5 linked regions of the Cricetulus griseus genome follow. The protein of the gene in region 3 purifies or fractionates together with the protein of the main gene of each other region. This does not show direct contact. Links are inferred from orthologs where the notes say so. Each region holds a gene or a part of one and is shown on either strand. Other genes may lie near its edges.

Region 1 (6,146 bases), on a different chromosome or scaffold from region 3:
TGTACTATATGTTCAAAAATAAAAAAGCGGGGTAGAGGCTGCTGAGAAGCAGAAATCTTGCCTAGCATGCATCAGACCCCAAGCTCACACCCCATAACGCATGTGATTTCATCTTACCTTGACTGAGTGTCTATGAGAGATTGGGTTGATCAGAGGATCAAAGTAGAAAGCTGGCAAATCAGGATCCTCAGTCTTGATGAATACAACATTAGGAGTGTGGTACCTACAAGGAAAGCAAGAGTCAATCACAGCTCTGCTCTGGACCAAATTTATATGGGTTTTCTCCTGTCGAATTGCTATATTCCAGGTGTCTTACCAGGTCAGGTGGACATGGTGTGGAAGGTTGTTATACAGGTAAGGAAAAGCAATCTTGTATTCAGTACGAATAGGCTGACGGATGATGATCTTATTAATATCATTGAATTCATTCCAGTCTTCATCCCTAGAACAGGAAACCGGATAAGTAGTCTAGCTCCATTGCTAGACAAGAATCTTAAGGATAAAAATTAGATTTTAATACATACAAAGTGCCTAAAATTGGCAGGGTGGTGATGGGCGCGTGCCTTTAATTCCAGCACTCGGGAGGCAGAGGCAGGCAGATCTCTGTAAGTTCAAGGCCAGTCTGGTCTAGAGTGAGTTCCAGGACAAGCCCCAAAGCTACACAGAGAAACCCTGTCTTGAAAAACCAACAAACAAACAAACAAACCCCCCAAAACAAACAAACTAAAAAAAAACCTAAAGTGCCTAACATTGATACTCTCCCCAACTTACTGTAGGTTGATATCTCGAACAAGAGGTTCAAATTTGGGTCCTCCAGGAATGGCCATATTGAGTGCCTTAGAGGTAAAGAAGGCCTTCAGGTCAAACAGATAGAAGTAGTTGTCATCCACCAAGTCAGTCAGAAGCTGATTGGCCAATCGATAGAGAGTGGACATCATAGGCAATGTGAACTGCCAGCGTTGGTAAGTGGAACCATTAACATACCTAGGGAAAAGAAGGAAGGCCTATATCAAGTACGCATTGAGGCAAGCCACTTAACCTACTGCCTTCCCACAGCTACTTTCCAGAACTCTCACGGGAATTAGTTCCACTCACTTCCTACTGTCTCTCAATGGCTGGTGGTCATAGAACCAATCCAACACAGGGGCATCCTCCTCAGGGTCCAGCTCTAGCTGAATGGCTTCCAGAGGCTCAACATCTAAGATGTTGTCAGCATAATCTAGGGGAGGTTCCTCATCATCGAACGGAGGGAAACGCATCCTCTTGAAATGCCTCCTGTCTCTTTTTTCTCGACGCATCATGATCCACATTGACCTAGAAGGCAAAAGGCAAGACCATCATATCATGCTGGATCCTCAGCTGCCACTGCCACTACCCCCATCCCTAAGCACACCAGCCATTACCACCCACCACATTCCAGCCCTTCTCACCCCCACTGGGAGATGTAAACTGGCTCAATGACCCAGGGAATCTCATTGACAAAGGAAATGGCTCCAGTGATGTGGTACAGAACAGGCACATCCCGAATCTGCTCCCAAGGCATGGGCATGTTCTCCAGGAGCTTGAGAACTGCATGAGGCATGTACTTGAGGGCTCTGTAACATTAGGACGAGAAACCATTAGAAATGAGTAAGTATTCTGTTATCTGTCCCTTGATGGCATGCCATGAAGTCATCACATGTTCCACAGAAAATGCTGCCTTAAGCCATCTGTCTCTCACCTATGATGCCACTAAACTGTATGCTCTTAAAAGGAGAGGATCAATACTGTCTGTTTATTGCTATATCTGAGCACCAACAGCAAAATTCAATAATGATAGTAATAATAATGTTTGTTGTTGTTTGAGACGGGTCTCACTATAGAACCCTAGATGACCTGGAACTCACTTGTGTAGAACACGAGATTCACCTGTCTCCCATGTGCAGGGATTATAGGCCTGTGCCACCACATCTAGCTTTTGTTGATGTTTTTAACAGAGCATCTCATGGAGTAGTCCAAGCTGGCCTCAAGCCTGTATCCTCCTGTCTCTGTAACCCAAAGATTATAGTAGTGTAGAGGCATATAATACCATGGCTGGTTAAGAAATTATTTTTGACCAGGTGTTGGTGGCACACACCTTTAATCCCAGCACTTGAGAGGCAGAGGCAGGTGGATCTCTGTGAGTTCGAGGCCAGCCTGGTCTCCAGAGTGAGTGCCAGGATAGGCTCCAAAGCTACACAGAGAAACCCTGTCTCGAAAAACCAAAAAAAAAAAAAAAGATTCCAGGAATGAAACACCCTAAAGCCCCAAATTCTGATGACTGAAAAATTAAAAGCAAACAGAGTGCATATAGTGTCTCAGAGTGTCAAACAAATCAACAATGACATTTTATAATGACATTAGCAGGGCAAATCAAAACAATGGCATAGGTAGAAGACATGAATATTATCATGGAATTCCAATGGTCCCTGCTTTACTCTTACAATCACCACTCTGTGTGCTCAAGAGCCATGTTCCATGCTGAGCCTGGTGGCACTTGCCTTTAATCCCAGTAATTGGGAGGCAGAGGCATGGAAACCATCCGTAGGTTCCAGGCCAGGCTATCCTGGTCTATAGAAACTCCATATGAAATTATCCCGGGATGTTGCTTACCCCAAATAGACCCTTTTGTCATGGCGGAACTTCCTGTTGGTCATGTCTCCATGGTCTCGAATGATCTTCCTGACATGTTCTGGGGGCATGTCTTCCTTCTGAGCATCCACAAACCCAAATTTCCGCTTCTCTGCATAGCGCTTGGCTTGTAACTGCTGCCATTTTCGAGCTATAAAGGCACCTCAGCTTAAAGGGCTGCAGGATCTTACCCTCATTATACCCACTCTTGCCCCTAGGGTAACCCCCACACACAGCATTCTGTGTGGAATGAGGAATAAACCCTGCCAAGTGTCTTGCCATTTTACTCCCCCAAATTATCTGACATTTTTGCTATAGATGTTTAGGAGGGGATGCTGTCTAATTCCTTCCTTGTAATGAAAATCCCCTAAAGAGGACGGGTTTGTCTCCATTGTTATGCTATGCTATACATACATACATACATACATACATACACACACACACACACACACACACACACACACACACACACACACAATTAGCTCCTGCAAATAGCAGGTGCTTCCGATCTTTCAAGGATTTGATTAAATTTTAAGAAATTAAATACGGCTAACAAGGTTGCGGACCTGCCTACAGAGAGATGAAGTGAAACCCGCCTGCACGTTCCAGCCCGCGCGCGCCGTTCCCACTCGCCTCTTACCTTTTTCCTGCAGCTTCTCCTCTGACATGTAGTCCGGCAGCGGGGCTAGGGGGCCGGGAACCGGGTTACCCGGCCCTCGGTAAGGAAACACTCCGGCCATGCCGGAAGAATCTGGGAAGGAGAGGGAGGCCAAAACTACGCCGCTAGGCCCGGGGCCACAAGAGGCAAATGGAACGCGTCCGGAGCCACCTGGCCCGCACGCTAGCCGGGCTGAGCGCTCGTGGCCTGGGCCTGACGCAGCTCCTCAGGCTGCTCGGCCCACCCGACCGTCTGCAGCCCAGCCTCGGACGCTCGCCACCCACCTGTACCCCCTCACTCAGGTAGCGGCTCGGCCCGCAGAGCAATGGCGGAAAGACGACGTCCGCTCCGCGTTCCCAACTCCAGGAAGTGCGCAACAGGGTTCAGAAACTCACCCAATAGACGCCGAGATGCTCTGATGGATTAGCGCGCACTCCAATGGACATTGCAGCCCGCGTCTAGGGGGCGGGTCTAAAAGTCGATTTCATCGCGAGGGGTGTGGTCAGATAGGCTCGCGCTCCGCCTTCCGCCAGTCGGATCTATTTAGGAGGACTCCAATAGAAAAGATGTTTAGTTGGCTATTGATGTTGTTCTCTCAAAGGCCAAAGCCATTACAATTTTAAGAAGTTTGCCTACGATGCACCTTTTTCCTGTATTTATTTTGATGAATTCAGAGCCGATAGGTAATACTAGCTCCAACTCAATGAATCCTTTGTTCTACTGTTCATGCATTCTTTACGTTAGCGTTAGAGTGCCTGCTATGTACCAAGGAATCAAACAACTCTTGGAAGCCCAAGGCAGACAGCCGGAAGGCTGAGAAGAATGCAAGATCTGCTGGAGTGGGAATGTACCAGGAGACCCTTGGTTCATTCCATCTCTAGCACTACATAGACCGATGGGGCTCCACTACATAGCATCCTGTGGGTGAAGGCAGGAGAATCAGAAACACCAGGTCTAGGGTTGGAAAGATGGATGGGTGATTAAGATCGTTGGCTGTTCTTCTGGAGGTCCAAGTTCAATTCCCAGCATTCACATGTTAGCTCATAACTTCTGATTCTAGAGGATCTGATACCCTTTTCTGGCCTCTGTGGATAGTGCACACACGAGGTACACAAAAATAGATTCAACCAGCCGGGAAGTGATGGAGCACGCCTTTAGTCCCAGCACTCAGGAGGCAAAGGCAGACAGATCTCTGTGAGTTCAAGACCATCCTGTTCTACAAGAGCTAGTTCCAGGACAGGTCCAAAGCTACAAAGGGAAACACTGTCTCAAAAATAAATAAATAAATAAATAAATGCAACCAAAATACCCATATACATAAAATAAACAAAAATCAAAAACAAATAAAAGTTATCCTCAGCTATGTAGAGTCTAAGTCCAGACTTTGCTACATGAGACTATACCTCAAAAAAAAGAAAAAGAAAAAGAAAAAGAAATCAAAGATTCTTTCCTTTTTTTTCCCTCTTTCTTTCTTTTTTCTTTCTTTCTTTTTTTTTTTTTTGGTATATGGATAAGTGTTTTGCCTCCATATGTGTCTATGCACCACATACATGCCTGGTGCACATAAAGCTTAAAAGAAGACATTAGATTCCCTGGAACTGGAGATGGTTCTGATCCACAACTTGGGTGATGGGAACCTAGGTCCCCTGCAAAAGCAACAATTTTTTTTCAATATTTATTTATAATATTTATGTATTATGTATACAGTGTTCTGTCTGCATACATGCTTACATGCCAGAAGAAAGCATCAGATCACATTATAGATGGTTGTGAGCCACCATACAGTTGCTGGGAATTGAACTCAGGACCTCTGGAAGAACAGGCAGTGCTCTTAACCTCTGAGCCTCTCTCCATCCTGCAACAAATGTTTTTAACAAACAAGCCATCTCTCACAACCCACTAAAGATTCTTGTAAAGCTTGTAATACAGTGTGATGGGCACTGGTAAGTAGAACATGCCTCCTTGCCTTCAGGGCAAGGATTTTTTTATTCATGTATTTATTTATTTGGTCTTTTGAGACAGGGTTTCTCTGTGTAGCTTTGCAACCTGTCCTGGAACTAGCTCTTGTAGACCAGGCTGGCCTCTAACTCATAGAGATCTGCCTGCCTCTGCCTCCCGAATGCTGGTATTAAAGGCATGTGCCACACTGCTGGGCCAGGCAAGGGTTTTTTTAGCTTAATGCTTACTTATTATAAGTGAGGCACTTATCCTGGTATTGCAAACAATATAAAATAAAAAATAAAAATCCTGTCAGTCATGGTAGTAATCCAAGCACTGGGTTGACAGTAACAAGTGAATCGCTGTGAGTTCAAGATCAACCTAGTCTACATAATGAGTTCCAGGACAGCCAGGACTACACAGAGAGACTGTATCAAAACTAAAATAAAATAAAAATCATCCCTAGCCTAGAAAAATTAAAATGTCTTAGGGGAATCTCATTGGTTGTATCTTCTCTTATTTCTCCTTCCTCTATCTGGCAATGATCATTTTAATTTATGCTATACACAAAAATTAATTCAGTGTGAATCATGGACCTATAAGGATAAAAAATAAAATCTTAGAAGAAAACATAGGAGCAAAACTGGAGACGTAAGCTGCGAGGCAGTGGCCCATTCCTTTGATCCCAGCACTCGGGAGGCAGAGGCAGGCAGATCTCTGTGAGTTTGAGGTCTACAAAGCTACACAAAGAAACCCTGTCTCAAAAAAAAAAAAAAAAAGGACTGGAGATATTTATTAGAGCATTTTATAGTATTGCAAGGAAGGGGCAATTAGTATAGACTTACCACCTAAGCAAGTGAGCAGAAACAAAGTAATTCCAGGTAGCAGAAACTGCTACAAT
Region 2 (6,037 bases), on a different chromosome or scaffold from region 3:
AAACGGACAGGAATCTGTAGTGACATACCATTAAACCTTACAATTTTTCGTATGCCTTGTTTTTCTTTAGGTTTTTTTGAGACGGGGCTTCTCTGTGTAGCCCTCGCTGTTCTAGAACTCACTCTGTAGACAGGCTGGCCTCAAACTCTAAGATCCGCCTCTCTCTGCCCCCAAATGCTGGGGGTAAAGGTGTGGGCCACTATGCCCACATGTGTTAAAAACTACAAAAGGAAATAATACATGTATTTGTTATTAAATAATATCTTTCCAATAACACATGACACGTGTTAGTCAGTGGAAAACTCGGGCAGATTGTCAAGTACATTCATTTCTTCATTTAGTAAGGATTGTATTAATCAGGCCTGTTCACACTCAAGAATCGAGGCAAAAGGATCACATAGGCTACAGTGAGTTCAAGGCCAGACTGAATAACTAACCAGACCCTGTCTCAAATTTTAAGGGAGGTGGGGCTAGAAGTCGGTGGTAGAACATTTACCTAACAAACACAAGACCCAGGTTTACCTCCCATCACTACCCGTCATTCACACACACACACACACACACACACACACACACACACATATATACACTCATTCACTCCCTTACAGGGTGTCTTGTGAGAACTGAGCCCACAGTTTACCTGTCCCCATGGAGGACAGCTTATCCTCCATTGTCTTTATGGTAGAGTTCAATTCAGCTTCCATTTCTTTTTCAAATTCATCTTCACTAGATGATTCACTTTCTCCAGTAAGACATTCCCGGATGAGTTTTCGTTTTTGGTCAGGAGTTCCATGTAACAGCACATCCACTTCATCTTCAGAACTAACATAACAGACAGGGAATATGAATACTAAAGTATTTTTCTTTGTTTTTAATTTATTTATTACAGGAGTATGTACAGGAGTGCTCTATCTCCATGTATGCCTTTAGGCTAGAAGAGGGCATCAGATCCCACTACAAATGGGAATTGAACTCAGGACCTCTCTGGAAGAGTGGCTAGTGCTCTTAACCACTGAGCCATCTCTCTAGCCCTGAATATTAAAATCACGGCTAGGCTGTGGCTCAGTGGTACAATACTCACATAAAATGTGCAAGGTCCTAGGTTAAAAATATAGCATCACAAAACAAAATAAAATCACTTAAAACTTCTATCATTTTAATAGCAAATGTAAATTTGACAAATTTACATCTGATATACCTATCACATTACATGCAGCAATAATCATTAATAAACAATAGATCAGCTAATCCTTCCGATTTTCAGGGGGCGGGTTTCTGGGTTTTTTATTTGTTTGGTTGGTTACTTTTTGTTTGCTTGTTTGTTTTGGTTTTGTGAGACAGGATTTCTCTGTGTAGTCCGACAACTCACTCTGCAGAACCAAGCTGGCCTTGAACCCAGAGATCCACCTGCCTCTGCCTCCTGAGTGCTTGGATTAAAGGTGTGTCCCACCACTGTCTGGCTTCTTTCTTTCTTTCGTTTGTGTGTGGGGGTGGGGGTGTTCTGTTTGTATGTGTATCTGTGCATCAATTGTGTTGCCTGGTGCCCATAGAGGCCAGAAAAGAGCACTGGATCCCGTAGAACTGAAGCTACAGTTAGATGGTTGTGAGCAGCTCTGTAGGTGCTGGGAATTGAACCCGGGTCCTCTGGAAGAACAGCCAGTGCTCTTAACCCCTGAGCCATCTTTTCTGTCCCTCTTTCTGACTTCTTGTATTATCACATTGATTTTCAATATTTGTACCAATTCATAATTCTATCAACTGAAAAAAACTTACTTCACAAAACTGAGAGTTTTATTTAGGATATATATATATATATATATATATATAGAGAGAGAGAGAGAGAGAGAGAGAGAGATACAATTAATATACAGTTAATATATCAACATATAGCAGTTAAATAGATGGTTTAGCTTGTAACAGACTTACTGTGTGCATGTTCATATCTAGCTCCCCTCCCAGCACCCACATGCCCTTTCTACAATGGTTCTCAATTTCCTCGTGAGTCACATATCAGATACCCTGAATACAGATATTTATAGTATGATTCATAACAGTAGCAAGATTATTTATAAAGTAGAAATATAGCAAGAAAAATTAGTAGAATCATTGTATCTAAGGTAAACATTAGAATGAAACAGTTGTTTTTCACTGTATTAAAGATAAACTTCATAATAGCTGCTTTCTAGAAGTACTGAGACCTTGAAGAAATCACTGTAAAAAACAGTGATTGTTTGCTGTTATCTATAGAGTTGTTTTTCTGAAAGAGCTTTACAGTCTTTGCATGACTTTGGTCACAAGACTGTCCTGGCACACCTGGATAATTTGGATTACTGGGTACTGCAATACCCAATAATACAGTGAACAATAAGGACTAAAGTGGCACATGTGTGATGCTTTTCTTCAGAAGGACATGGACATATGACTATATTAGGGACTTTGGTATAAGGAACTTGTTTTAACAAAAAAAAAACAAAAAACAAAAAAAACAAACAAAAAAAAACACCTTTTGTGTAACAATCAAATACAACTTTGCACAAATGTTTGGAGTTCAGTTCACAGAAACTGTTCCTCCCAGCTGCCAGAAAACCTAAAATTCATCTAGGAGTGATCCTCTTCCTTTAACCAACCCACGAAACACCGAACACCTGCCAAGCAATGAAGTAATTTTATGGTTGAGGTCAGCACAGCATGAACTGTATTAAGGGGCCCCAGCATCAGGAAGGTTGAGAACCACTACTCTAGAATCTAGGTTAATAAAGGAGTAAACAAGCCAGTCAGGGGGGTGCACTTTAACCCTAGCACTTGGAAGCAGAGAGGCAAGTGGGTCTCTTGAGTTCAAAATGAACTTGGTCTATAGAGCAAGTTCCAGGCCAAGCAGAGCTACACATTGAGGCCCTGTCTCAAAACTAAAATTAAAAAACCGAAACAGATAGATTTAAAAAATTCCCTGGGTTTAATATCCGGCAAGGTTTTTAAAAACGGGGAAAAAAAACATGTTTTACATATAAGTAAAAGCATTCCAAGTTCCCTCAGGTAGGATAAATACTCCCTTTCCAAAAGTACCACAGACCAAGACAAGAATTGTGTATTTTGTATCTCTTATCATAAGCCAAAAGAAATTCCCCGTTCACTGCTCCGTTATTTCTATTTGACAGTCTTCCAGATGAGTACTGAGGCCTGTGGACCTCACGAGTCCCACACTTGTATTTCCATTTACAGATGCGAAGCTGAGGAGAACTGACTTGCCTTCAGTCACAGTGCTAGCAAACGCTAAGGAGCAGGGTTCCAGCTGAGATTTACGCTTGGGGGCCCCCCGGGATTCTGGAACATCCCTCTTCCCGCACTGCTGTCCATCCCGGTTCCCCAGAGACTGAGCAGCCCCACCAGGCACCCTGAGGCTCCTACAAGTGAAGCGGGAACAGTGTACCCAGGCTCGGCGAGCACGACGGCCTCGGGCCAGGGCCGGGCGGACACCGCGGGGCAGCGGCCCACCTGCTCAGAGCCGGCTCCTCGTCGCTCGGCTCTTCCACGGCGTAGGGATCGTAATCATCCTGCAGCCGGTTCATGGCGGCCTAGGGAGGCCTACGCGGTCCCCTGCAGGTCCGGGTGTCTGTGTACTCCGCGGGTACCTCCCCTAAAGCGTCCCGACTCTCCACTTCCGCTGGTCATGCGAGCCCTTCCTGTGCGCGCCTGCGCAGGGCGTCCCAGGGCACGGGCACCGGAGGAGGGTCGGGGATCAGCTTGGCTCTGCGTTTTCTTTGCCGCTGAAAACAGCAGTTGCCTTTTTATGGATTTTTGTTGTTGCTGTCGCTTTATTTAGCCTCTGAGATGGTCTCACTGGCCCAGTCTGACCTAGAACTCGCTACACAGCCCAGGCTGACTTTGCTCCGCCTGCCTTGACCTGCGGAGCCCTGAGATTACAATTGTGCGCCACCGTGCACTCTGATTTCTTTCTTCCAAGTTGTTATCTTGGCCTTTCTCCCCAGGTTTTTATTAGGCTTAGTGGTTTGTATGCAAATAAGTGATATGTGGTAGACCTACCTAGAAAAATACTATGCAAAAGTAAAAAGATTTTCTATCGGCAGTTAAACATTACAGGGGTGAATCTCCTAGAACTGAACTGTGAGGATGAGTTCCTTCCGCTGGCGGAAACGATGAGCTAGAGCTGCTTTTTTGCCCAGAGCCTGAGCCTCAAAGACAGGTTTTCACCGCCCCTTTTGTTTCCAGACTTGACCCTCAATCAATAACAAGCCTCGCCCCGCCACCCTTAGTAGGCGGGGCCTTAGCACGCATTCCTGCAACGTCACAACAAAGGCGTGGTGTATGTAAATGACATGCACGCAGAGGATGCAGGTTCCCCGCAAGAAGGCTTCCCATACTGTTAATGGATAATATTCACTTATGTACAGGGTGGTTTTAGGGTTCACTATTAGACCAAGGGAATGTGAGGGAGAGGAGGATCAGTAAAAAACAGACCGTAAGTAGAGAGTAAGTCTATAATGAGGGAGAGCGCGCGCGGGGCGGCTGCAACTCATACTTACCTGGCAGGGGAGATACCATGATCACGAAGGTGGTTTTCCCAGGGCGAGGCTTATCCATTGCACTCCGGATGTGCTGACCCCTGCGATTTCCCCAAATGCGGGAAACTCGACTGCATAATTTGTGGTAGTGGGGGACTGCGTTCGCGCTCTCCCCTGGTTTTACTGTACAACGTTAGACTTTTGAGTTGTGTAAGGGAAAAAACTTAAGCTAGAAGAGTGTGCTTGTCTAGTTACTGCTGTTTTTTTTTCTTGATATTTCTTTTTACTGCTAGATGGTATTATAGAGCTGGAAACTCTAAAATCTTTTATTAAACTGCTCTTTAGTTTGGAGTTTATTTGTTGTAACCCCAGTGAATTTCATTAGGCCTGTCGGTACCTGTAGGCCTGTAGGCTGGTGTAAAAAGGTTATGCTGTCAAGTTGCCTTATACTTGTACTTATTTATATCTGGTTTGTGGTTTTTCTCAACTGGCCAGAGAAGCGGTTTTATGCAGCACGAACGTTGATTGACGTAGAGGTCGCTGCTGGGATCCACAACCAGTCAAAACGCTGATAATAAATGAGTTCAGATGAATGGTCTACACCAACCGCACAACTCATAAGAATTTAAGAACTGGCAGCATGTGAATGGGAGTAGAGCTGTGAAATGCTGTCTACTGGAGGTGATGCAGCGGTCGCACACGTCACCTCACAGAAGCTGTATTTACATGTACGTACAAAACCTGCGCAGGGGAGCTGAAGAGCTAGCTCAGTTCCATTTCCAGCGCTGAGTGGAGGTAGTTCATCTGCCTGAAACTCCAGTTCCAGAAGCAGAGAAAGGGGACACCTCAGAGAAGCTAACTATAGACTGAATCAGTGAGCTCTGGTTCATAGCAAGAGTCCCTGCTTCAGTTAAAAAAACAAAAAACTCTACAACCTCTAACGCACTTGTGAACATGGTACATACCACAAATATGTCCATGCATATTTTTTATATGCATGAGGAAGCACAACTTTTAACTCAGCATTCAGGAAGCAGAAGCAAGGCAGATTTCTGTAAGTTAGAGGACAGCCTGTTCTATATAATGAGTTCCAGTCTACCCTGGGCAATACAATGAGAGCAAGTCTCAAAAAAATCAATATACATTTTTAAATGTTCCCATGGGGAGGAGAGAACTTGTTGCAGAGGACAGCTCATTCCAACCCTGAGTTCTGAGCTGGAACTCAATCAGCTTCAGTGGCAAGGGCCCTCGCCTGCTGAGGTATCTTTTTCTTTTTTCCTTTTTCCCCTTTTCTTCTTTTCTTCTCTTCCTGGAACTCACTATTATAAACCAGGCCAACCTTCAACTCACAAAGATCTACCTACCTCTACCTCTCAAGAGCTGGTGATTAAAGGCGTGCACCACCACGAGGTCCAGCCCTAAGAATTTGGTGGAGGTTTTTTCCTTTTTTTCCCTCTTTATTATTATTATTATTATTATTATTATTATTATTATTATTATTATTATTAATTCAAGTT
Region 3 (5,423 bases):
AGGAGGTGGCAGTGGGGTCAAAAGGGATGGTACCTGGGCAGGGGTCATAGCCACTGTGGGGTTTGGAGGGTCAGGTGGACAGGAGAACTCATAATTGCTTATCTCCCTGGGCTCCAGGTCCGAGTATTGCCGGCTGCCCTGCCTCCTGTGCCCCAGCCCGTGTGCACATACCGTGAGCTACACTTCGCATCTGTCCGCCTCCCTGGCTGCCCACCTGGGGTGGACCCCATGGTCTCCTTCCCTGTGGCCCTCAGCTGCCGTTGTGGACCCTGCCGTCTCAGTAGCTCTGACTGTGGGGGTCCCAGGGCTCAACCATTGGCCTGTGACCTCCCCCACCTCCCTGGCCTCCTCTTCCTGTGAGGCCCACCCCCTAAAGCCTCTATCTCAAGGAGCTGGCAGGTGTTCCAACCTTCCCTCCCAATAAAGGCTTTACAAGTGCACCAGGGTGTCTTCTGTGGGCTCTGAGGACACACAGCAGGGCTCCAGCTGTTTACAACCATTTTATACAGAGTCACAGTGTCAGAACTTGTAGAAAACAAGGTAGGAAGGGTTGGGGTGGAGCTTCAGCTCAGGAGGTATCCATTGTTTCGCCTTCTGTGGAGAGAGGAAGCCAGGCATGAGTGAGGTCCAGGGTGCTCCCATGTGGCCCTCTCCCGCAGTGGCAGCAGGCTGGGAGGGATACTCACTGAGCTCGTTGAAGAGGAAGGCATCTTGGTATTCCTTCATGTACTGCGTGGAGCGGGATTCGTCCAGGAAGAGGGAGTATACTCGTTTGATGTCGTCTACCTGCACCTCTGTGCCCTGGGGACAAGTGGGACTCAGCTCATGTCAGCTTAGGGTCATGGGTCTCCCCTCCCCCGCCACTTTTTCCTCTAAGATTGCTGTGGTTCTCAGTCCCCACCCAATACCCATGTGCCATGGTCTGTAGGCTACCCCAGGGTCATCCCTTCAGTCCTCCAGGCTAACTTGCTAGCTTACCTTTCGTTTCCGGCACACCAGACTGGCTGCTGTGATGAGCTGGATGGCATAGCGCAGGGAGGTCTCTAGCCCAATGCGGGTCAGCACTGTGTAGGCGTCCTCACTCATCTCCACATCTTCCTCCTCACAGCTGTGGGCAGGCAGGCCTCAGCCAGACAGAATGGCACATCACCCCACCCATCCCCCCAAAGACACGTGACACATGCCTCAGAACCACATATGAGGGGCTCCCAACCCTACCCCCAGAACTCCCCCACTGGTAGGATGCCATACTGGTCTTCTCAGATGCAGAGGCCTAGGTGAATCCCTCCCATCCAATGTGTGTTCCTATAAAGGGGCCAGGGGTGCCCCACCGGATGCGTAGAATCTGCTTGGTGTCCTTCTCACTGTAGGGTGATGTTGACACAATGAGCAAGCGGTCTAGAAGGTCAATGGGGATGCCATGGGGACTTTGGTAGCTGGTGCCTCGGATCCTGGGGGTCAGGGAAGATTGTTAATGGATGCTCCTGGAAACCATGACAGCCATCAGTCCACTTGGGAGCTGAATAACTAACTATATGAGCACAGTCTCTTATCACCTGTAAGCACAGTCCTCCCCAGTAGTGCCAGTGGCTCTCCTGTACCCTGCTGCACAGGCAATTCTTGGTGGGCAATGGGACCCATAACAATTTGTTCCAGTCATAGGCAGTTTAGCCACAAATAATGATGCTGTTCTCCAGGAAGGTGGCTCAGGACAGCTGCCAGACTCCAAACTAGAGTCCAAGAACTAGTGCACTTCCGGGACTGGGGATTGCAGGTGAACGTCATGTGACAAAGGGATTAGAAGCAGCCACCTCCCTCAGAGACCTGAGGACTGGCTCCTCTGTAGGCACTGGTCTAAAGATGCCTCTCCTCTCACCCTGCCACCTTAAACCTATGGCCTTAGCAAGTCGATGAGTTTTGCTGGCCTAAGTGGGAGCGATGGAATGGGGTGAAGAGCAGAGCAGGTGAGGTTGCCAGGCCACAGCCTGTTGTCTACCCTCTACCTTTCTCATAACCACATATAACTCCAGTTCCAGAGGGTACGGCACACTCTTGTGGCATCTGTGCAGACCACATGCATGTGTGCATATATATAAACACACACAAAAGTGAGATGCTTAAGAACACATACTGTTCTTACAAAGGACCCCAGGTGGGCTCCCAGTACCCACAATGGGTAGCTGCTCATAACTGTTTGTCAATTTACCTGCAGGGAACCTGACATACTGTTCTGGACTCTGCACACACCTGAACTCACACTTACACATTACCCCCCGCCTACATACACATCACTCTTTAAAAAAACGGGGGATGGATGCCATGGAAAAACATGAGACAGGCTAATATGCTTGATGAAGCTCATGACCCACCACCAGCGGGAGTCTGGCACCCTGGGTCCTGTCCCTCCTGGGTCTCCAAACTCCAGCCCTCTTAACCTGGGAACCATTGCTTCAGACCTGTTTTTTGTTTGTTTGTTTGTTTGTTTTTGGGCGGGGGACAGGGTTTCTCTGTGGCTTTGGAGGCTGTCCTGGAACTCTGTAGACCAGGCTGGTCTCCAACTCACAGAGATCCACCTGCCTCTGCCTCCCCAGTGCTGGGACTAAAGGCGTCTGCCACCACCGCGTGGCTTGTTTGTGTTTTTTTTTTTTTTTTTTTTTTTTTTTTTAAAAAAAAAAAGGGTCTCATGTAGCCCAGACTAGCATAGAACTCAAAATCCCCGTTTCAGCCTACATAGTATTAGGACTACTGGTGGAGTGGGTGCCACCATGCCCAGAACTCCACAGCATCTTTAGATCAAAACTACTAGTCTGAGTGACTTGCCTGATCCCAGCAGTTTGTGACATGTCTAACAGATGCCCCTGTGCTCAGCACAGGGTGATTTCCTGGGGTATCTTTGGGTGTCTTGGTCAACAGTTCTGAACGACAAGTGGCCCAGGATTGTGGGGGCAACATACAGGGCAAACTTCAGAAGGAGGTGCTAGGTTAACCAACCATGGCACTCAGTCCACTTATGCTCAGGCTGCCATCAATCCCCTGATCCAGAGGGCCCCTTCACCCAGAAATCTACGGCTGCTCACCGGGTGATGCCTCGGTTGGTGGCCATGATGAGGACTGGGGCCATGTCACTCTCCAGGGCCCGGTTGAGGAAGGAGAAACTCTCAATATCTAGCATGTGGACCTCATCGATGAACAGCACCTAGAAGCCATTGGGGCACAGATCAAGCTCACCTCCACCCCTTTCCCCAGGTCATACCCGCCCACCTTGTGTCTAGCCACTCACCCCAGGGATGATCTCCGCCTTGCCCTCCTCCCTCCACTCAGCCACTTTGGCATTGATCTGTTCTCGGACTTCTGACTTGATCTCCCCTGTGTCTCCTGCCAGACACAGGGCACATCAGTGGAGATGGAGACTGGGTCCAGGATCCGGGGTGGGCAAGGACAGAGAAAGACAAATGCCACAGAGGAGGGCTCTACTGCTACAGCAGCAGGGCTAGGACCTGGAGCACTTTAGAAAGGACGGAAGGCCAGGCCCTGACAAAGGGTGTGAGGGCAATGCAGGGAAGGACAAACTCCAGTGGGAACAGAAGGCAAACAGCAGGTCTGGGAAGAAAGACTGAAGGGGCAGGAAAGCCGGGGGTTTGTTGTGCCAAGGGAGGAGAAAGAAGGGACACACCAGAAGGGGGGTACATCAGTTGCTGGGGACTGGTTGGGGAGGGACAGCTGACCTGAGAAGAGGGCCAGGAAGCCCTGAGTGCGGGAGTTGATGACGTCAATCTCATGGAGGGACACAGTGTGCACCACCTCCTTGCGTTTCTGCAGCTCCCCGTCTGGGCACTGCACAAACTTGGTCTATAGGGTTGAGGGCAGGTGTGAGGGCAGCAAGGGCACAGGCACCTCATGACGTCACAAAAGATATACAAACATCCCAGTGCCAGGTACCTGGGAGCCCATGGCATCATAGTCGCGAGCGCGTGTGAAGGAGCGGCCCAGCTTGGAAATCTTGCCAGTGGCCTTATCAATAGTGATCACGTCCCTGCAGGGGCAACAGCAAAGACTGAAAGGGCTGGGCAGAGGTGGCGCATACCCTTAGTTCCAGCATTCAGGAGGAGGCAGGAGGATCTCTGTGAGTTCAGGGCCAGCTTGGTCTACAAGCAAGTTGTAGGACAGCCAGGCAGAGAGACCCTGTCATGGAAAAAAAAACATTCTCACTACCCCAGCCACCTTCATGGTCCCAGTGGCTCACCCGGCCTGGACCTTGTCCTTGGTCAGAGACTCGATCATCTTGGTGCCCAGGTCATAGATGGTCTCCATCTCCGTAGTCTTGAGGGTCAGTTTGCCCACCTTAGATCCCTGAGGGGACACATCAGGAAACCCTTAGATGACCTCACCCCTTTGTGACCACAGCTTCAAAATTGGTGTGGCATAGGAAGCTTGTGGAAGGGATGGCCTCAGAAGGTGGTGTCATGGGTGCCAAGATGTACCCTCCAATGTCTGCTGATGTGTAACTGTGAAGCCCACAAATGAGTGGAGGAAAGTACCAAATGCTAACCCCCCCCCCCACTTGTTTCTGTATTTAGTTAATACTTATTTATTGTGTATAGTGTTCTGCCTGCATGTATGCCTGCAGGCCAGAAGATGGCATCAGATTGCATTACAGATGGTTGTGAGCCACCACTTGGTTGCTGGGAATTGAACTCAGGACCTCTGGAAGAGCAGCCACTGCTCTTAACAGCAGAGCCATCTCTCTGGCCCCTAACATGGCTCTTTCATACCCAGATGAAAGGCATCCCTCCCCCCACAACTCTGGGGCTGGAAGCCTGCATCCAGCGCTGTACCACCAAGCTACACGGCAAGACTCTCACACTGACTCTAGGCTGACCCTCTGCTACTGAGCTGCACATCCTCAGCCCTATTCTCTCGTTTCATTATCCCTGGGCTCATAAGACCTCCTGCCTCAGCCTCCTGAGCATCTGACCACAGTAAAAAAGTGTTTTTGTTGATTATAAAAAATCAAACAATTGAAACTGGGCCAGCAAAGCAGCTTGGTGGACAGAGTACCTGAAACCAATCTTAATGACCTTGGAACCAGTGTGGTAGAAGAACCTACTCCCACAATTTGTCCTCTGACCTCCACACCCACTAAATAAACGCAAAAACAAAACAAAAATCCTTTTATAAAAAGTTAATTAAATTTGAGGCCAGCCTGGTCTACCTACAAAGTGAATTCCAGGACAGCCAGAGCTATACAGAAAAACCCTGCCAAGAAAACCAACCAACCAACCAACCAACCAACCAACCAACCAACCAACCAACTAACCAACCCACCCACCCACACACACATTCTCCTCAGGGCATAAGCAGGCATTAGACTACTTAGGCCTTATTCGGGAATCAACTGTTGGTCTCTGGCCCCTGTAGGGTAG
Region 4 (6,043 bases), about 29 Mb from region 3:
TGTGTGTGTGTGTGTGTGTGTGTATGCTGAATCATGATTCATGTAGAGTTCGGCTCAGGCATGTGAGGAGATCTCACTCACAGAAATCTGCCTCATAGTTATGAAATAGTTAATTATCACAGGACAAAAAATAATAATACTTCAGTCATACCTATGTGTTCAAAAAAACAACTGGGCATCAAAAATGGCCTCAAAATTAAGAGAAAAAAACAAAATTAGTATATTTGGTTTTGTGCAGCATCAAAGTAAAGCAACAAAAAGGGCTTCTACAACCTCCTGTTTTCTGTTGCATTATAAGAGTGTGTGTGTGTGTGTGTGTGTGTGTGTGTGTGCATTTATGTATGTATGTATGTATGTATGTATGTATGTATATGTGCTCACACAGAGAATGCACAAGAGTGAACATGCATAGAAAAACAGGTCTCAATACTGAAAAGACGCATTCAAGAAACATTTACCAAGCACATATACTAGGTGCCAGGCACTTGGAATATATTAAGGAACAAAATCAGTAAAGTCATTATAAAGATTATATTCTAACAAGAGAAGAATCTAAAGTATAAACTAGGATTTATTCTTATATGCTTAAGGCAACAAGCAGTCAAATATAATGGTGTCAATAGAAAAAGAAGCAAAATCAAGTTACTACTAATAAAAAAAGAGAATCTGAAAGAAAAGCAAAGCAGAGCAGAGGATACAGCTCAGTGATAAGAGTACAGAGCCCATAGCTCTATCCTCAACACTGCAAAAGAAAGCCAAACCAGAGTTAAGTGATTTAAAAAAAAAAAAAACACCCAAACTTCTTAGTAACTTAATAGTCAAAGCAAGTCAGTATAATTTCTGAAAGTTCTCAGAATTATAAAAATAAATTATTTACAAAAATCCTAATAAATATAATACCATGATAATTCTGGGTTCTATAACAATCCTAAATATGAAAGAATGGGGATTATAGCAGTAAACTTTTCAACATCAAGAGCAAGGGTTTGAATTCCTGACCATTACCATCAGTGAGACCTTTTAGGTTATCTATAAAACAGAAAACTGTAGTGACTCACAAGGCTGTCATCACTAAGATTAAGAGATAATCATAAACTAGGGAAAACTCAAATGTCTAGTAACAAGTACATATGGAGTATATGTTAACTATAATATTATTCAGCAGTAAAAGGAATACATGGTGTATAAAACAAGAGACAATAATTAATAGTATCATGCTGAGCAAAAGAAGCCATACACACATACTTATCCTCCATTGACACAAAACTTCCAAATGCAATGCCAATCTATAGTGAAAGCAAGTAGATGGTCTCCTGGAATTACAGTCCAGGGATTAGCTACAGAGGACAAGAACATTTTCTGAAGTTGGAAATGTTTCTTATTCTTGGTTGTATACATTTGTGAAACCTCATTAAATCTTTATTGTAAACGGGTAAATCTTCCTGAATTTATGTCTCAGAAAAGTAAATTTTTAAAAAAATTTTATATTAAATATACCTAGAATTCTTGACACGGTATCTGGGATCTAAATATTCCACAAACAGCAATATTAAAAACAATAACTACTACTATACAATATTCATGAAGAAATAGCCAAATAACTAATAAGTTCTTTTTTGGGGTTTACAGTAAAAATAAATTACAGAGTTTTAGACCAAGCACCATGAGGAACACTACTGGGACTGAAACACAGGATGACAACTGTTAAACCTCAACAAACATAAGGAAGAGAAGAAAGCAATGTAAAAACACACGTCCAAAAGAAATGGTTAAGAGAAAGATGTGTCCAGCAAAGACAACACCATGCTACCAAAAGCAGACAACTTCTAAATTACCTTATCAAGACACTGTCAGAAGGTAGTTCAAAATTGAGTCAATGACTATGTAAGCCAATTTCTCAAACACGACTAAGCACTAAATCTTAGGCATAAAAGCTAGGCTTTTTTTTTTTTTAATTGAAGGTTTAAAAAGAGGCCCGATTTTATCTTCTACTGAAAATGTTAAATCAGGTAATCAAACACCAAAGAGAATGTGATTAAGTCAAAGCACCAACACAATGAGGTCAGAATTCAAGCAGCCAATCAAAGGCTTAAATGCATTTCCTGCACTATTAATAGTCAAAAGAGAAAACCAATCGCAGAAACCTCCAGCTTTCTTTTGACAGTCACAGAAGCACGGGAACCAATCCACACACACCCGAGGTTGACAATAAGGCGGGACTGAAGGTTCATTGAAGAAATTCTTCAGGGTGCAGTTACTATGAACTTCGCATGCAAGTAACAACACTCCAGAGTCGTAAACACCGTCAAGTCGGGGGAAATTCAGTCTTAGGTAAAATTTAACCCCTGGAGAGAGGGAAATAGCATTTTTGCCAAAATGTTACTATGCGGTCAAAAATACTAATGTCAATGTGGACGCACTGAGTCTTTCAACTTGGAAATGGCCATCTCGCATGCTACCTCCCCGGGACGGTGCGCTGGGAAGCGCGGGCCTGGTTCCTAGCACTCGGGCTTCTTCCTAACGCCGTGCAACCGAGCAGGGCCAGCCCGGCAGGCTAAATCCGCGCGCGGTGCAGGGGGCTCGCTAACGCGGGGTCCCGCTCGGGAGTCGCTGCCCCGGAGCAGGGCTGCACCGCCTCGTCCCGCCGCACCTCCTCGGGCGGGCAGCGCACACCGTCACCCTGCTAACTCAAACCATCACCCAGCTAGCACGAAGGTGTTTGTTGAGTTTTACTTTTCCTGCATCATCTCAAAGGCACTCGAATGCACGCAAGGATCTTAAAGTGTCACGAAAAGATCGCCTAGCCAAAGGACCTCCACCCCCACCCCGCAACACCGCTCAATTAATCAAGCCCGCGCCGGGGAAACGTCTATTACAAGGTAAACAGAGGCCGTACGCCAAGTGCGGCCCGGCGCATCCCTGCGCCATTCCCGGCCGCTGCTTACGGCAAGGCCCCCTTACGGCAGCGTAAGCGGCGCCGAGAGCTAATCACAACACTGGGACGCAACAACATGGCGGCCGCGGGCGGGCGCTGCGCCGGCCGACAGGTTTACGCTACTCCGCCGGCGTAGGGTCCCGAGCGCGCAGCGGCAGCGGCGCCCTCCAGCGAGCGTAGAGCGCTCTGTGAATGGCGAGGCCCGGCTGACAAAGGGGAGGGGGGAGGAGGGAAGGGGGGGTAATAAACACTCGAGTCCCTACCGATTCCTCCTCCTTCTCCATCCCGGTGGGCATCTGGGGCACGGCCCGGTTGATGGAGACGCAGTCGTTGAGATCAGGCATGTCCTTGCCGCGGTAGATGGGCAGCGGTTTGGCGGCGTCCAGCGCCCGCGCTCGGAAGGAGAGTTTACTCATTGTCTCCCCGCCTTACAGGAACAGCCCGGGCGGCGGCGGCGGGGCGGGCGGGGAGGGGGGGAGCACTCCCGCCGCCTCCTCCACCTCCTTCCTCAGTGCAGCGCGGCCGGCCCGCCCCTCCTCCTCCTCCGCACTGCCCCCGGCCCCGCATGGGCGCCCACCCCGCCCAAAAACAGCCCCCCGCCGCCCGCGGCCGCTTCCACACTCTAGATCCGCCGCTCGCCCGCCCGATCCGCTCCCTGCGCCATGGCCAACATGGCGGACATTACCACAGCGGCGGCGAGCGATCCCGGCAGCCCGCGCGAGAGCGCGCCCCCGCCGCGGGGACGCGCGTCGCCCTCTCCCTCCCTCCCTCCCTCCTTCCTCTCCCTTCCCCTCCCCTGCCTGCCCACCCACTCTCTCCGCTCCGCGGCGCGGCGCGGCGCGGCTCGGCGCGGCTAGCCAGCCGGCGACAGCGAGCTAAGTCCGGGTGCCCGGGTGCCTGTGTGCCGGGCGCTCGGCGGGACGCCGGCGGGGCAGCAGGTGCCAGGTGCGCTCGCCCGGGCGCCAGAGCAGACGCCTCCTCTGCCTCTGCCTCTGCCTCTGCCTCCGCCGCCGAGTCGTTCCGCGCGCAGGGCTCCCTCGGGGAGGCGCGGCGCTCAGGACCGCCCGCCCCAGGGGGCAGGAGGTCGGCCACCCGGGCGACCGGTCGCCACTCGAGCCTGCGCTTAGAAAGCTCTGATCTCCGGAGCGCCTGTTGCCTGGTTCGCGCCCCGGGTTTGCGCATCCCGGGGAGGTACGCAAAGTCCGTGGCGTCTGCCCACGCCGAGAGTCACAGCCCTGCTGCGTCTCGCGCCCTGAAAAATCGGGCAGCCCCGGTCCGAAAGAGCGCCCCAACGTGAGGCACTCCCGCCTGCACCGCCTGCACCGGCAGGATGCTTGTGGTAGCCGTGAGGGCTCCTAGTTTGAGACTGCTGGGCGCAACAAGCGGACTTGCACCTGTCATCCAAACTTCCCTAGTTATTTAGTGGATGGTAGGTAGTTCTCTTGACTTAAAAAAAAAAAAAAAAGCCAGTTCTTAAAGGTTCGATTTGAAATATTTTGCCCAAGCAAATACGTATGTTAAAAAAAAAAATACTGGTTGCTGTGGCAACTCGAAGAGTTTAATAAAGTTCCTGAATCAATTAACTTGCATGTTACGGCTTTACAACTGTTGAATAATTAGCAGTAAGAGTCGTAAATACTTGAAGAAAAGAGCATCTGAAAAGATTATAGTCCAAAAACATATAGACAAATGCTTGGCTACTTGAAGAAAACGATACAAGATGACACGAGAGAGTAATGCAAAGTTAATCACCAAATGACATCTACGGGCAGTTGCTGTGACCTGTCAGAGAAAGGCGACATAGTTTTGGCCAGAAGCAGTAGAGCAGTATCTCTGCCAAAGGAAGAATCAAATTGACTCAATTAGATACAGCTACTGTTGACACAAACCTCTTTGTTGCCTAGTTTTCTTTGTCTTTAACCATTACAGGTTTCTCAGAAAATTCCCACAAAGTGCAACAATTTTACCATTTTGTAATTATTGACAAAATCCCTACCTCGCTCAGAAAAGGGTAGATGGTTTGCTAAAATCTAACTGTAAAAACTAATTTCTCCTATTTTTTGATAAAGCACAACTATCTTCATTGCCACCCACTTATTTTCTATTTTTCTCCCTACCCTTTTCCCTTCTCTGTTTCCCCTTTGTCTCCAACTTTCCCTTTGAAGGTAGTATGGTTGAAGATAAACTTCCTAGTAACATCTAAATAATCTGACCAGGCATCAACACTTTGGAGCATAGTTCAGTGGGCTTGTGTTTTACAACCACTGTTATTGGGAACAATGAAAACACTGTGACATGCTTCTTGTAAGCAAAACCGTTCTCATGCTTGTAGGCATGCCCTGCTCTTCGTGCTACCCTCTGGAGTAGTTCCAATCCAATCTTGTAAGGAAGAGCAAGAAGTTCTCAGATTGGGGGTGGGTCATTACTGAGTTCAGACCTGAAAGGCAAGGGGCAACAGTGGTTGAAAAAAATGAGTCACCCAGACCTTTTTATCTGAATGCCTGATCCTTCTCAGGCTCAGAAAGGATAGCTTTCTTGTAGCGTTTCTGCTTAATGTTACACTCAGAAAGTGTGAACGGTGTATGTGTGTGTGTGTGGTTTCAAGAAGTTGAATCCACTTAATTCTTATGGGTACATACTCCTCATAGGGAGAAATACTGTAATTTTTACTAATAAGGAAACTGAGACTCAGACAGGTAACTTGTCAAGTTCTAATACCACTAGTGGATTTCAGAGCTGGATTTAAATCTGGATCTATCCTGAGTCCAAAACTCTATTCTCACAGTGGCATACTTTAGTATCCAAGCTCTTTGGTTTATTGACCATCCAATGTTCAAAAGCTTCTGACCCAAAGTTAATTAATGAAAGCCTCCAAAGTTAATTAGTGAGAACTTCTAGCCAATGGCAAGAATGGCATCTCCTCTTTCATCACTATAAACCTAGTTCCACAGCTCACATGAGGCAGGCCTCTAGTGTGTTTGCTGATTGATAGGAAGTCATATTATATCAGCTCCATGAAGAACTTCAGTTCTTCTGACCCTATTCCATCCCAAGTTGGAGTTGGAGTGCTTTCCTGGCCTGGCATCAGGCTTGGCCATGGATGCTAAT
Region 5 (6,059 bases), on a different chromosome or scaffold from region 3:
TAAGAACTTTACGCTTTTTATTTTTTTAAGGTTTTTTTGTTTTGTTTGTTTTGTTTCTAATACATGTGAGTACAAGTGCCTACGAAAGCCACAAGAGGGTGTCAGATTCCCTGGAGCTGGAGTTACAGGTAATCATAAGCCTGTGTACTGCAAACCAGAAACTTACATCCCCTCCAAATGGGACATATATGTGATTAGCAGCTGAGCTATTTCTCCAGCAATGAAGAGATAATTTCATTTTAATTATTTCATTATTATATGTAAGTTATTAGCAATTAAAGGTAGGCCCATAAGCTACGATGGCAGCTTCCTTATATATCATTTTCACATCAGTTATACTGCATTATGAGTGAGAATCTGATCATAAGTTTCTTTAGTCTTGTTTCCCTCCTTTACCCTAGTTCACTGGTCACTTGTTACTGAATAAATTATGAGTGTACACAAGCTCTTTAAATTTAAGAAATTATTATTATTGTGGGTGCATGTGGGGCACATTTGTGCTATGATTATGTGTGGCAGTCAGAGCACAGCTTTGGGAAGGCAGCTTTCTCCTTTTCCTTTACATGGTTCTGGAAACCAAACTCATGTTGACAGGTTTACTAGACAAGCGCCTTTACCCACTGAGCTACCTTGCTGGCCCCACATGCTGCTCTTACTCCAAACCCACTTACAAAGGAAAAGACAAGAGCTTGTAGAAGAGTAAAATAAACCGGTTTTGGGGCTAGCTAAAATGGGGACTTACCAATCATGAAAAGAAAATTCAATTACTCTTTACATTTCTTCCATGGATAATTTCACATCTACCTGTTATTAAATTTTAACTTTGAAAACTGTCAAAGAAAAATTCCATTCAAAAGCTCATAAATCATCCCTACTTTAAAATCAATCATTTCATGTTGATGTTTACTTTTGCACATGTGCCAAAAGTAGAAACAATTCCAGAAAATGAAACTAGAACATTTGATCTAAATTCACTTTAAAGAGTATTGAAAAATACTTTAAAAGACAGAAAACTGCTAACTGCGCAAAAGCCAGATAACAGGCGCTAAACATTAAAGAAAGAGTTATGCATCATACAATAACTGTTAGACATCTAAAAGTCCCCATGGTATCTTTTAGGACTACTACTATGAGGTATAAGTAACATAAGGAATCCACAAAACCCTAACCACCACTGGGCCTATGGCTTAGTCAGTAAGGCACTTGCCATACAAGCAGGAGGACCTGAGTTTGATTCCCTGAACCCAAATAAAAACATAAGCTATGCGTGTAATCCTGGAGCTGGGGTGACAGAGATGGGTATTCATGAGGCTCACTGCCCAGCCTTTCTAGCCTGATAAGCAACAAGCAACTAAGAAACCCTATCTAAAAAGCATTCCTCCAGATGACATCAGAGGTTATCCTTTGGCTTCCATTTGCACATGCACACACATGAACCCCCATACACACACAAGCCCCTCCCAACACACCCACCCACCTACAGCTACATATGCTGTTGTATAGTATCTCGGAGTCAAACTACTCCCATCTTCAGCTACGGGAGGCTCTGCCCACAAAAGGTTATCACAGCTGAGCCTGTGGAATATTTTACCTTGTCTCACAGAAGGAGAGGGTCAGAGGGTCATGGGACCCTCACCTGATTATTCAGCCACTCTCCATCCCCAACCAGTGTGATAGATAAAATTCTGTCCCAACTGCATGTGGGTCATGGAGGAGGGGATAGAGTATAGGATGAGGGGAGGGAATTCAACCTATGCAGTGCTGGGGAAGCCAGGCAGACCTTCCACCGTGGCTACTTCAGAATCACCTATGCTCCTGCCCATAGCCCCTTACCAGTGCACTGCTCTGTAAACCTAAAATACTCAATGGTTCCCCCAGGGAACTTTGATGGAATCACACCTAGTTTGTCAAATGAGACCTTAGGAGAGGCAGAACTTGTCTCTTAGGGAAGGAATTTTAGCAACACAAACAAACACACACATAAAAAATATAGAAAACTTTGTCCAAAACCCCAAAGGCCATACCTTTATCTGCATCATAGGTTCCCTGTTCACTTCCATTTTCTACAATCCTTCCAGGAAGTGTTAATCTGCAGATTAAACACAAGGTAATCCATCACCAATCACAGTTCATTTTTAGCCATCAAAATCTATCAACCATTTGAATGGCAACTTCTCCGCAATTCGTTCACATTTTACAAGCTAAATAACTTAGATTCCTTCTTCAACTAAGAAAGTAAAAATCAAAGATATCACGACTTTCCATTTAATACTTTAGCTATCAATAATCAGATGTTGGGGGGCCTCACTATAAACCTTAGTTATCAAATGAAGTTATGTTTGTTCGGCTTTGTTTTAACTTAATTTATTAATAAAGCGACATCTAAGGTTTGTAGGTATAGGGGAAATAGTTTATACAGGGTTCATTACTATCCATGGTTTCAGATACCCACTGAGGAGTCTTGGAAATATCTTCAAGACATCTAAAAGTCCTCATGGTATCTTTTAGGACTCCTACTATGAGGTATAAGTAACATAAGGAATCCACAAAACCCGAACCACGACTGGGCCTATGGCTCAGTCAGTAAGGCACTTGCCATACAAGCAGGAGGACTTGAGTTTGATTCCCTGAACCCAAATAAAAACATAAGCTGTAGTGGAACATTCGTGTAATCCTGGAGCTGGGGTGATGTCTAACAGTAGGGGGGTGACCTACTGGATTTTCAAATTGACATGCTAATTGACATCTAATGTGGTTCCCTTAAAGCAGTGAAGAAACCAGCTTGACAGCAGGGGAGGGCTCAGTTGAAAAGTGGAGGGCCACGAACGGATGAGCAAGTTTAGGAAGGCTCACAGAGTCCACTGCACAAGGGGGCTAACAGTACTGCCTAACTCAAAGTATGGCTATCAAAAATAAGACGCGAGCGCTTAAGATACTGCCTACCTACCACACGAAAGGTGGCCCCAGTGTCAGCTGCCACTACTGTTTTGGTTCCACGGGGAGAAAAACACAGACGGAAAAGTGCTAAGCACTGCTCGCCTCTCATGGACTGACTAATCAGATGCAAAAGGAACCTGAGAACTAACTGCAGGAATCAGAGGGCGGTCCTCCAAGAGGCGGACACGGAAAGCATGCCGGCGTGGGTCAAAACACCGACCCACGCGGGGAAGTCACCACGCAGGGGAGAGGCGCGGGCGTGAGGCGAAAGAACAGCACAAGCCAGAAGGACGAGGGTGACAGGACAGACACTGAGTGGGTGGCCCCGTGCTCTGTGGCAGGTAGACCGCGCGCCAGGAAGAAGCCGCCGAGGAGGCAGCAGCGAGAGAGCCGCGAGTGCGTCCACGAGGCACGGACTGACTCAAGAGCCCGCGCGGGGTGCTGAATAAACGCCGAGCGCGGGCGGCGGGAACTCGCCTCAGAAAGTACGGCTTGGCGTAGAACTTGAAGTCCACCCCCTCAAAGTACACGTCGAACTCGGAGGCACGCGCGTGCGGGATGCGGATGGCGACCGTGAGGAACTCGCTGTCCTGGCTCAGCTCGAACGCGGGGGTCAGCATCGCCGCGCGCTCCGGGAGCCACCACGGGCCCCGCTACGCACGCGCCAGGTCCCGGAGCACCAGACCCACGCCGCCGGCTTCAGCGCTTCCGGCCCGAGGCGGAAGTGGGTGCGCGTGAGGCCGGAAGTCCTCTCCTGCGCCAGTCTCCTTGGAGACGGGACGCTTTCCCTGGCTAGGCGGAGTTTTCAAACTGACTAGAAAGGGAAAGGATGCCCTGGAGCCAGGCTTCGACTGAGGGAATTTTTGGAAGAACTGGAAATCTAACCCGGAAATTTGCGGACTAACCGGAACACCAGATCACTTTAGACTCACTGAGAGCCTATGGAGAGGCTTAGAAATTCTTTTGATTGCCTCGGTTTTTTCAAGTAAACAAGGTGTATTTGAATTCCCAATTGTACGACCTTAGGAAAACCTCTACCATAAAAAGGAGAATAATATTAGTCCAGCCTCCTCAGATGCTGCTAGGATGGCATAAAGTTATCCAGGAGGAGCGCTGTACCCTTCCACTCAGCAAGTGGGAGCAGGTTCTGCAGTAGCCACAGCTACTTACATTGTCCCTGTCTCTGAGGTTTCCTTCAGTTCTCACTGCTGGCCCCCTCCCTCAGCTTCCTCTCCCCTTCAGTAACCCTTCTTTGAATAGTTTTCTCATTAACAGAGCATCAGTCTTCTAATCTAACCCACACTACAAACCCCAAGGAAAAGTGGGCTGAGAGAGGTTTAACAGGATCAGAATCCAGACGCCTAGTCAGTGCCCACTCTCAAGAATTGTCCTTCCTTTTTATTTGTTGCATTTTTCTCTTTTCTTACATGCGTCAGAAGCTGTCTTTTGTCTTTTTTCTTTACTCAAGTATTCTTTTTAGTTCCTCTGTGATCCTCACTCTCCCAACGCCTTTCCCACGTGTCTCCCACTCCCCTCATGTATTCTCTTAGGCATCCTTCCCTCTCATTCCTTTTACTTCGAGGAACTAGCACAGTACATATCTAGCATTGCACTGGCTAGTTCTATGTCAACTTGACACAAGCTAAAGACATTTGAGAGGAAGAAACCGTACTTGAGAAAATGCCTCTATAAAATCAGGCAAATGTGTAGGGTATTTTCTTGGTGATTGATGGCCGAAGTCCAGCCCTTTGTGGGTGGTGCCATCTCTGGGCTAGTGGGCCTGGGTTCTATTAAAAAGCAGGCTGAGAAAGCCATGAGGAGCAAGCCAGTAAGCAGCTCTCCTCCATGACCTCTGCATCAACTCCCTTCAGGTTTCTGTCCTGTTTGAGTTGCTGTCCTGATTTCCTTCAATGATAGACAGCTGTAAAAATAAGTCAAATAAATCCTTTCCTCCTCAGTTTGCTTTGGTCATGGTGTTTCATCTTAAAAATAGTAACTTGGAGACAAGTATGAATTCCCTGTCTGTGAATGTCAGTGGAATAGCTGGGCTCAGTGGCTTGCACCTGTAATCTCCTCACACACAAGAAGCAGAGGCAGGAGGATTGTACAACTTTTAGACTAGGGTCATCCATATAATGAGTTCCAGGCCAGACTAGGTGCTCTACTTTGCTTTTTATTGTGATAAAAACCATGCCCAAAAACTACTTGGGAAGAAAAGGGTTTGTTTGTTTGTTTCCTTCCAGTGCATCACCCAGTGAAGTCAAGGTATGAGTTAGAGCAGGAATAGAAGCAGAGACCAAAGAAGAAGAAAAGAAGAAGAAGAAGAAGAAGAAGAAGAAGAAGAAGAAGAAGAAGAAGAAGAAGAAGAAGAAGAAGAAGAAGAAAAGGAGACCATGGAGGACCACTGCTTTCTTATCTGTTCAGTTTGCTCTTTTATGTAACCCAGGACCACTTGCCCTGGAGTAGCACCACCCAAGAAGACCCAAGAAGGCTTGGCCTTCCCTTGTCAATCAGTAACCAAGAAAATGCCCCCATAGATTTGCCTCAGGCCAATACAATAGACATTTTCTTAATTGAGGTTCCCTCTTCCCAGATGACCCCGGCTTGTACCAAGTTAATAAAAAACTAACTAGCACTCTGGGCTACACAGTGAAACTGTGTCTCAAGACAACACTAATAAGAAGAAAAACAGTAAATATCAGTGAGAAGGATTTAAAGTCATTTCCTGTGACAGTAAAGATCCCCAGATACCCACAAAAGCCTTCTTGACATCTGGCTTTTGATGATTCAAAGGAAGCAATCTTAACATTTAATTGGGACTCAGAAAAAAAAAGTTAGCAGGCCTCCACATTAGCTGGATTCCTGGCTATGTAGTAGAGCTACAGTAACCTTGTTCTGATTTCTTCTTTTCCTTCCTGGAGCTCTATGAAGAAGCCATTTATATTCTGTTCACTTGCACAGGGTCACACAATTTGTCAGAGGCTTAATGGGAATTGGAACCAAGGTTAGTCTCATTCCAAGGTCCTAGCTCCAAACCACTAAAGAGCTAAAACCTCAAATATTACCACTTACATCTTGGTTTCATACTCCAAGGCCAGGCCTGCCTGCTTTAGACCACATGA

Evidence for each region.
Region 1: the proteins of Ruvbl2 (region 3) and Prpf8 purify together in Homo sapiens (affinity purification with mass spectrometry; 3 studies listed by BioGRID and IntAct, with this or other methods). This does not show direct contact. The link is inferred for Cricetulus griseus from reciprocal best matches to the Homo sapiens genes RUVBL2 and PRPF8.
Region 2: the proteins of Ruvbl2 (region 3) and Eapp purify together in Homo sapiens (affinity purification with mass spectrometry; 3 studies listed by BioGRID and IntAct, with this or other methods). This does not show direct contact. The link is inferred for Cricetulus griseus from reciprocal best matches to the Homo sapiens genes RUVBL2 and EAPP.
Region 4: the proteins of Ruvbl2 (region 3) and Epc2 purify together in Homo sapiens (co-immunoprecipitation; 4 studies listed by BioGRID and IntAct, counting the BioPlex papers as one, with this or other methods). This does not show direct contact. The link is inferred for Cricetulus griseus from reciprocal best matches to the Homo sapiens genes RUVBL2 and EPC2.
Region 5: the proteins of Ruvbl2 (region 3) and Shq1 purify together in Homo sapiens (affinity purification with mass spectrometry; 4 studies listed by BioGRID and IntAct, with this or other methods). This does not show direct contact. The link is inferred for Cricetulus griseus from reciprocal best matches to the Homo sapiens genes RUVBL2 and SHQ1.

The regions. Positions count from the first base shown.
Region 1 is NC_048600.1:88,934,117-88,940,262, reverse strand, and holds the start of Prpf8 (pre-mRNA-processing-splicing factor 8), read right to left. Parts: upstream 3,652-6,146; 5' UTR 3,390-3,651; coding exon 3,290-3,389; intron 2,801-3,289; coding exon 2,632-2,800; intron 1,596-2,631; coding exon 1,431-1,595; intron 1,315-1,430; coding exon 1,096-1,314; intron 985-1,095; coding exon 772-984; intron 443-771; coding exon 317-442; intron 224-316; coding exon 118-223; intron 1-117. UniProt on the Homo sapiens protein: Plays a role in pre-mRNA splicing as core component of precatalytic, catalytic and postcatalytic spliceosomal complexes, both of the predominant U2-type spliceosome and the minor U12-type spliceosome.
Region 2 is NC_048598.1:147,605,982-147,612,018, reverse strand, and holds the start of Eapp (E2F-associated phosphoprotein), read right to left. Parts: upstream 3,652-6,037; 5' UTR 3,567-3,651; coding exon 3,493-3,566; intron 823-3,492; coding exon 641-822; intron 1-640. UniProt on the Homo sapiens protein: May play an important role in the fine-tuning of both major E2F1 activities, the regulation of the cell-cycle and the induction of apoptosis. Promotes S-phase entry, and inhibits p14(ARP) expression.
Region 3 is NC_048599.1:154,326,904-154,332,326, forward strand, and holds the end of Ruvbl2 (ruvB-like 2), read right to left. Parts: intron 4,351-5,423; coding exon 4,244-4,350; intron 4,034-4,243; coding exon 3,940-4,033; intron 3,850-3,939; coding exon 3,726-3,849; intron 3,376-3,725; coding exon 3,281-3,375; intron 3,197-3,280; coding exon 3,078-3,196; intron 1,452-3,077; coding exon 1,332-1,451; intron 1,109-1,331; coding exon 979-1,108; intron 802-978; coding exon 687-801; intron 595-686; coding exon 569-594; 3' UTR 482-568; downstream 1-481. Other genes in the region: Lhb (lutropin subunit beta precursor), read left to right, coding at 118-360. UniProt on the Homo sapiens protein: Possesses single-stranded DNA-stimulated ATPase and ATP-dependent DNA helicase (5' to 3') activity; hexamerization is thought to be critical for ATP hydrolysis and adjacent subunits in the ring-like structure contribute to the ATPase activity.
Region 4 is NC_048599.1:124,848,172-124,854,214, forward strand, and holds the start of Epc2 (enhancer of polycomb homolog 2), read right to left. Parts: upstream 3,652-6,043; 5' UTR 3,352-3,651; coding exon 3,199-3,351; intron 1-3,198. UniProt on the Homo sapiens protein: May play a role in transcription or DNA repair.
Region 5 is NC_048601.1:43,280,152-43,286,210, reverse strand, and holds the start of Shq1 (protein SHQ1 homolog), read right to left. Parts: upstream 3,652-6,059; 5' UTR 3,558-3,651; coding exon 3,415-3,557; intron 2,090-3,414; coding exon 2,025-2,089; intron 1-2,024. UniProt on the Homo sapiens protein: Required for the quantitative accumulation of H/ACA ribonucleoproteins (RNPs), including telomerase, probably through the stabilization of DKC1, from the time of its synthesis until its association with NOP10, NHP2, and NAF1 at the nascent H/ACA RNA.